2 linked regions of the Anolis sagrei genome follow. The protein of the gene in region 1 interacts with the protein of each later gene in a biochemical or structural test. Links are inferred from orthologs where the notes say so. Each region holds a gene or a part of one and is shown in the gene's direction. Other genes may lie near its edges.

What was found.
Region 2: the proteins of STAM (region 1) and ARRB1 form a complex in vitro, tested with the Homo sapiens proteins (2 studies listed by BioGRID). The link is inferred for Anolis sagrei from reciprocal best matches to the Homo sapiens genes STAM and ARRB1.

The regions. Positions count from the first base shown.
Region 1 is NC_090026.1:106,026,762-106,030,691, forward strand, and holds the start of STAM (signal transducing adapter molecule 1), read left to right. Parts: upstream 1-1,339; 5' UTR 1,340-1,522; coding exon 1,523-1,562; intron 1,563-3,930. UniProt on the Homo sapiens protein: Involved in intracellular signal transduction mediated by cytokines and growth factors. Upon IL-2 and GM-CSL stimulation, it plays a role in signaling leading to DNA synthesis and MYC induction. May also play a role in T-cell development.
Region 2 is NC_090023.1:3,236,068-3,239,997, forward strand, and holds the start of ARRB1 (beta-arrestin-1), read left to right. Parts: upstream 1-1,457; 5' UTR 1,458-1,726; coding exon 1,727-1,803; intron 1,804-3,930. UniProt on the Homo sapiens protein: Functions in regulating agonist-mediated G-protein coupled receptor (GPCR) signaling by mediating both receptor desensitization and resensitization processes.

The DNA.
Region 1 (3,930 bases):
GTTGAGGATAAATGTACTTGCCTTTTCTTATCAGGCAGTGCGCTGGACACCTTTTACTTCGTTCTTGTGGGTTTTTTCGGGCTATATGGCCATGTTCTAGAGGCATTTCTCCTGACGTTTCGCCTGCATCTATGGCAGGCATCCTCAGAGGTAGAGGTCTGTTGGAATTAGGACAATGGGTTTATATATCTGTGGAATGGCTGGGGTGGGGCAAGGAGCTCTTCCCTGCTGCAGTTAGGTGTGAAGTTTAGCTAATCACCTTCATTAGCATTTGAAGGCCTGCCTGAACCTGGGAAAATCTGTTGCTGGGAGGTGTTAATCTGTGCCTGGTTTCTTCCTCTCTGTTGTTTAGCTGTTATAATTTTAGAGTTCTTTAATACTGGTAGCCAGATTTTGTTCATTTTCATGGTCTCTTCCTTTCTGTTGAAATTGTCCACATGCTTGTGGATTTCAATGGCTTCTCTGTGTAGTCTGACATGGTGGTTGTTTGTGTGGTCCAGCATTTCTGTGTTCTCAAATAATATGCTGTGTCCAGGCTGGTTCATCAGACAAGAGGGATCCTCTCACCTCTGCAGGAGTCTACCGGATACCATGCAGCTGTGGACAAGTCTACATAGGGACCACCAAACGCAGCGCCCAGACACGCATCAAGGAACATGAAAGGCACTGCAGACTACTTCAACCAGAGAAGTCAGCCATAGCAGAGCACCTGATGAACCAGCCTGGACACAGCATATTATTTGAGAACACAGAAATGCTGGACCACACAAACAACCACCATGTCAGACTACACAGAGAAGCCATTGAAATCCACAAGCATGTGGACAATTTCAACAGAAAGGAAGAGACCATGAAAATGAACAAAATCTGGCTACCAGTATTAAAGAACTCTAAAATTATAACAGCTAAACAACAGAGAGGAAGAAACCAGGCACAGATTAACACCTCCCAGCAACAGATTTTCCCAGGTTCAGGCAGGCCTTCAAATGCTAATGAAGGTGATTAGCTAAACTTCACACCTAACTGCAGCAGGGAAGAGCTCCTTGCCCCACCCCAGCCATTCCACAGATATATAAACCCATTGTCCTAATTCCAACAGACCTCTACCTCTGAGGATGCCTGCCATAGATGCAGGCGAAACGTCAGGAGAAATGCCTCTAGAACATGGCCATATAGCCCGAAAAAACCCACAAGAACTGAGTGATTCCGGCCATGAAAGCCTTCGACAATACCTTTTACTTCCTTTTCTCCCGGCATGCAGCGCGAGGCCGGTTTTCGAGGCGGCTCTGGCTTTGCTGAGAGAGAGGGAGGCGAAGGAGCGCGAGCAAGGGAGGGACGGAGGGAGGGGGCCGTTTGGGGGCGGAGCTTGAGCCGCCTTGGGGCCTCGCGCCCTCAGTCGCTCCGCGGAGGCGTTTGTTGCCGTTGGTTGTCCTCCCCTCCTTCCTCGCCCCAGGGCCGGAGGGGCGGCCGGACGGAGCCTGCTTCCCTCGGCCGCTGCATTCCCTTCTCCCCTCTCGAGAAGATGCCGCTCTTCACGACGAACCCCTTCGACCAGGACGTGGGTGAGTAGAAGGCAGGCAGGCAGGCCACAGAGGCACCCCAACCCAGGCTGGGCCCTACCCAGCTCCGCTTCTCCCTCGCCTTTTATTTTTCAACACTTAGGTTTTTTTTATTGAAATTATCTCAAACCAGAACTTTTAAGAATGGCAGCTTGTGAGTGGTGAAGACATAGATATTATATAAGTCTACATTTAAGATTCTACCACAATCCAGCTGTTCAGAAAGATTTCTTTAGGTTTTGCCATAAGGTCTACTGTATTTACATTACAGGTTGAGCTATCTTCATCCCAAATCCTGAAACATTCCAAAATTGGTTGAGATAGTGACACCTTTGATTCTGAGGGCCCTTCCAGACAGGGCCTATACCCCAGGATCTGATCCCAGCTTTTCTGCTTATCCCAGATTACCTGGCAGCGTGGACTCGCTTTTTAAATTTAATTTATTTATTATTTATCTATTTATTTATTTCTTGCACTTATTGACCGCCACTCTCAGCCCTAGGGCGACTCGTGGCGGTGAACAACAACATAGAAAGGACAGTTTACAATAAATCAAGACAGTACACAACAATCTACTACTACATAACTTATACTTATGCTAAAAATCTGCTTCGTCATATCCTGGGGTCATAGTCGATTTCATAGTCATAGTCCATTCCGGTCGTCATTTCCAATGATATGGCACTCAGTTGAAGGCCAGCTCGAAGAGCCATGTTTTCAGGCTCCTACGAAAGGCCATAAGGGAGGGCGCCTGTCTAACTTCAGCAGGGAGGGTGTTCCACAGCCGGGGGGCCACCACCGAGAAGGCCCGCTCTCTCGTCCCCGCCAGGCGTGCCTGTGAGGCAGGCGGGACCGAGAGAAGGGCCTCCCCGGATGATCTCAAGGTCCTCGTGGGCTCGTAGGCCGAGATGCGGTCTGCAAGGTATTTTGGGCCGGAACCGTTTAGGGCTTTGTAGGATAACACCAGCACCTTAAATTGGGCCCGGTAGCAAATCGGCAGCCAGTGGAGCTGGGACAGCAGGGGCGTTGTATGCTCCCTGCGCCCTGCTCCTGTTAACAACATGGCTGCCGCGCGCTGGACTAGCTGAAGCTTCCGGGCCGTCTTCAAGGGCAGCCCCACGTAGAGAGCATTGCAGTAGTCGAGGCGGGATGTGACCAAAGCGTGTACCACCGTGGCCAAGTCAGACTTCCCAAGATACGGGCGCAGCTGGCGCACGAGTCTAAGCTGTGCAAATGCTCCCCTGGTCACCGCTGAAACCTGGGGATCCAGGCTCAGCGACGAGTCCAGGGTCACACCCAAGCTGCGAACCTGCGCCTTCAAGGGGAGTGTATATTTGTATCCCATCCTTATTATTATTATTATTATTATTATTATTATTATATTATAACTTTATTTATACCCTACTAGCATCTCCCAAGGGATTCGATGCGGCTTACACAGGCCGAAGCCCCAAAAACACAGTACAACAATACAATACCCAAAGCAAATTAAAAACAGTTAAGCAGGAAAACAATAACAGTAACAATACAACAAGAAACTATTAAAACTGGGCCGGCCGAAGTAGGGGTACAGGGTTAAAAGTGCTGATGTGGGATTAAATATAAGTGCGGTGTGCAGTGTGCAGTGATCTTGGTTCTACTAAGATGCTTCTAGGATTTGGTGCTGGAAGTTCCTAATCTGAAAAGGCACATCGGAACAGCCAGGTTTTCAATTCCTTCCTGAAGACTGCCAATGTAGGGGCTTGTCTGAGATCTTTCGGGAGGGCGTTCCAGAGTCGGGGGGCCACCACAGAAAAGGCCCTGTCTCGCGTCCCCACCAAGCATGCTTGTGACACGGGCGGGATCACGAGCAGGGCCTCTCCAGATGACCGGAGTGAGCGTGTGGGTTCGTAGACAGCGATACGGTCACGCAGGTAGGGTGGTCCCAAACCGTTCAGGGTTCTCACCCCCAGTGGGGGACTCGGGGTGGCTTCACAACAGGCATTCATTCAATGCCAACAACAATAATCTACAAGGAGTATTTTTTAAGTAAGGTCCGTTTTGTTGTAGACACTAGTAGTTTGCACGCATACCGCAACGAGCGCATACCGCATGCCTCGGGAACAACTGTGCTCAGTAGCTAGCCTGTATGGTTCTGTTCTGTGCTTTAAAAATGTTTAAGACTATCAACTCACCCTCCGCATGTGAGGTTCGCTCAGTGATACGGTTTTTGTCAGCAAGGAACCTTCCTGCTGCAGAAATCCATTGACAGATTTGTGAAGTGTACGGTGATACTGTTATGAGTGAAAGCAAAGTGTGTAAGTGGGTACGACAATTCAAAGATGGCCGTGACAACGTCCATGATGAGGACCGCTCAGGTTCCTTGCTGACA
Region 2 (3,930 bases), on another chromosome or scaffold:
TATACGCATATACACACATACACACATATATACATATGCACACATTCATACACAGACACATATATGCACAAGCACATACAAATATATACACATATATACACACATATATGTATGCACATGCACATACAAATATACATATATACACACATACATATACACATGCACACATTCATACACACACATATGCACAAGCACATACAAATATACACATATATACACACATATACATATACACATGCACACATATACATATACACATGCACATGCACATGCGCACATATATGCACAAGCACATACAAATATACACATATATACACACATATGCACACATTCATACACACATTCATGCACAAGCACATACAAATATACACACATATATACATATGCACATGCACATACAAATATACATATATAAACACATATACATATACACATGTGCACATTCATACACACACATATATACACACATATATACATATGTACATGTACTTACAAATATACATATATAAACACATATACATATACACATGTGCACAAGCACATACAAATATACACACATATATACACACATACACACATATATACATATGCACACATTCATACACACGCACATATATGCACAAGAACATACAAATATACACACATATATACACACACATACACACATATATACATATGCACAGGCACACACAAATATACATATATACACACATATACATATACACATGCACACATACATGCACACATGTGTATATGCATATACACATGCACACAAATATATACATACACATATATACACACAAATATGCATATAGACAAGCACACAAATACACAATATGCATATACATATATAAACAAATAAACACACAAATACACAAATATGCACACACATGTATACACCCACACACACATATATATGCAAACACACATATATACACAAATATATAAGCACACATTACTTCCTTAGGTGACCTCTCGTTCGAGTAGGATGCATATACATATATAAACCAATAAACACACAAATATAAATACACAAATATACACACACATATATACACCCACACACACATATATATGCAGACACAAATATATACACACACATTACTTACTTAGGTGACCCCTCGTTGTTCGAGTAGGATAATCCTCCAGGGTGGGTCCATAACACATACACACACAAAATACATATATACAGACTGGGCCACAGCAATGCATGGCAGGGGGTGGCTAGTGTGTGTGTGTATATATATATATATCTGTATACAGAGAAAAACAAATTACCTGTGAGACACAGTGTGGGAAAGGAGAGGATGCGCTGCAGACAATGGACCTGCAAGGAAACCTGGCAAGGAGATGCAAGGCGTGTGCTGATTCCGTGATGCGTCCACCATCGCCTTTCCGTTTGGAGCATTGGGATGCGTCCTTGGCAAGGGCTGGGCTGCTGTGTTTTACGGGAAGCATCTGGACCGCGCATCGCAGCCGGGCTTCCTTTGCGCTGCCTTCCTGGGATGCTCAGGAAGCCCTTTTTGGAGCAAAGACAGCCGCTGCAACACACGGCTTGTGCGCTCCATGCTGCCGCAGCAGAGAGAGGGCTGGGCTGGCGCACGGCGTGTGATGCCGGCACAGGAACAATCGTGCCAGGCACAGGGTTGCGCCTGGTCCAGCCGAGCGAGGTTCAGCCTTCTTCCCTGCCTTCCCTGTCTCGACTCGTTTGCTGGCCCCTTCTGCCATGAAAGGGGCCCATGGGGGATCCAGAGGTCTCGACGGGGGCCCCACAAACAGAGCCACAGAAGAGGTCATGAAGCGGTAAGCAAGGGGTAGCATGGGCACATGGGTGAGCATCTCTCCAGAGGCTCAAATCTCTTGCAATGGCACAAATGGGTCCACTGTATCCATCTAGTGCAGACATGGGCCAACTTGGCCCCTCTAGGTGTTTTGGTATGTGGGGATCTGTTTGTGGGGAATTGCAAAGGATTCATGCCATAGGACCCCTGAGCATGACACAATGATGTCAAACTGCCTGAACTTCCTTTGTCTGCGGCGCATCTGAACATTAGGAAGAACTCTCTGACTGTGAGAGCCGTTCAGCAGTGGAACTCTCTGCCCCGGAGTGTGGTGGAGGCTCCTTCTTTGGAGGCTTTTAAGCAGAGGCTGGATGGCCATCTGTCAGGGGTGATTTGAATGCAATATTCCTGCTTCTTGGCAGAATGGGGTTGGACTGGATGGCCCATGAGGTCTCTTCCAACTCTTTGATTCTATGATTCTACGTTCTATGAACTCTACGAGGGAGATCAGGCACAGGCAAATTCATCCCTCCGGGCATTTTGGACTTCGACACCCACAATCCCTAGCAGCCGGCTATTAGGAATTGTGGATGCTGAAGTCCAAAATGCCCGGAGGGATGACATTTGCCCATGCCTGTGATAGATGCACGTCTTAGGTTCATGGAGGATCTCGAAAGCACTCTGCACATGCTCTGCTATGTTTCGGTGACCAGGTGCCAAACTACAAACCCCATGATCCTAAAGGACAGGCCTGAGCAAACTTGGGCCCTTGAGCGCTCCAGCTGGAGGTCAGCTGTGACCAGCAGTGCTGCAGAAGGAGGGCAAAAGAGATAAATGTGCCAAGAGGAAGGCGCGTCAAGCCAACCCCGACTTGGGCCCTCCAGGTGTTTTGGACTTCAACTCCCACAATTCCCAACAGCCTCAGCCCCCATCCTTTCCCCCTTCATGGGCCAACTTGGGCCCTCCAGGTCTTTATGGACTACAACTCCCACAATTCCTAACAGCCTCAGCCCCCATCCTTTCCCCCTTCATGGGCCAACTTGGGCCCTCCAGGTCTTTTGGACTACAACTCTCACAATTCCTAACAGCCTCAGGCCCCATCCTTTCCCCCTTAATGGGCCAACTTGGGCCCTCCAGGTCTTTATGGACTTCAACTCCCACCATTCCTAACAGCCTCAGGCCCCATCCTTTCCCTCTTCATGGTCCAACTTGGGCCCTCCAGGTGTTTTGGACTTCAACTCCCACAATTCCTAACAGCCTCAGGCCCTTTCCTTTCCTTGCTTAAGCGGCTGAGGGGGAAAGGATGGGGCCTGAGGCTGTTAGGAATGGTGGGAGTTGAAGTCTAAAACACCTGGAGGGCCAAAGTTGGCCCATGAAGGGGGAAAGAATGGGGCCTCAGGCTGATTTTACCAAGCTGGTTTGGTGCTTAAGGTCAGAGGTGTTCCTGCTCTGGTGTATGACAGCATCCTGGGAGTTGTAGCTTTACAAGGTGTTGAACCTTCCCCGCTGGGGCCTCACCAAACTACAAATCCCATCATGCTATCGCATTGAGGCATTGAGGCATGGTATCCATCCAAATGCTGGAAGCAGGGTTTCTCCAGATGAGGAGGTCTGATCAAAGCAGAATTGAGTTGGAACTATGACCTCCCTTGGTCTAGACCAGGCATGGGCTAACTTCAGCCCTCTTCTTGCTATTGCTATGCTATGGACCTTGGGAGATGTAGTTTGGTGAAGAAACAGCACTCTTTGGAAGAGAAGATTTAAGTCTTTGCAAAACTACGACTCCCATATTCCATAGAATAGACTCATAGAACCCTAGAGTTGGAAGAGACCTCCTGGGCCATCCAGTCCAACCCCATTCTGCCTAGAAGCAGGAAAATTGCATTCAAAGCACCCCCAACAGATGGCCATCCAGCCTCTGTTTAAAAGCCTCCAAAGAAGGAGCCTCCACCACACTCCGGGGCAGAGAGTTCCACTGCTGAACAGCTCTCACAGTCAGGAAGTTCTTCCTAATGTTCAGATGGAATCTCCTCTCTTGTAGTTTGAAGCCATTGTTCCCTTGCGTCCTAGTCTTCAGGGCAGCGGAAAACAAGCTTGTTCCCTCCGCCCTAGAACTTCCTCTCACATATTTATATTTGCTTACTAACTT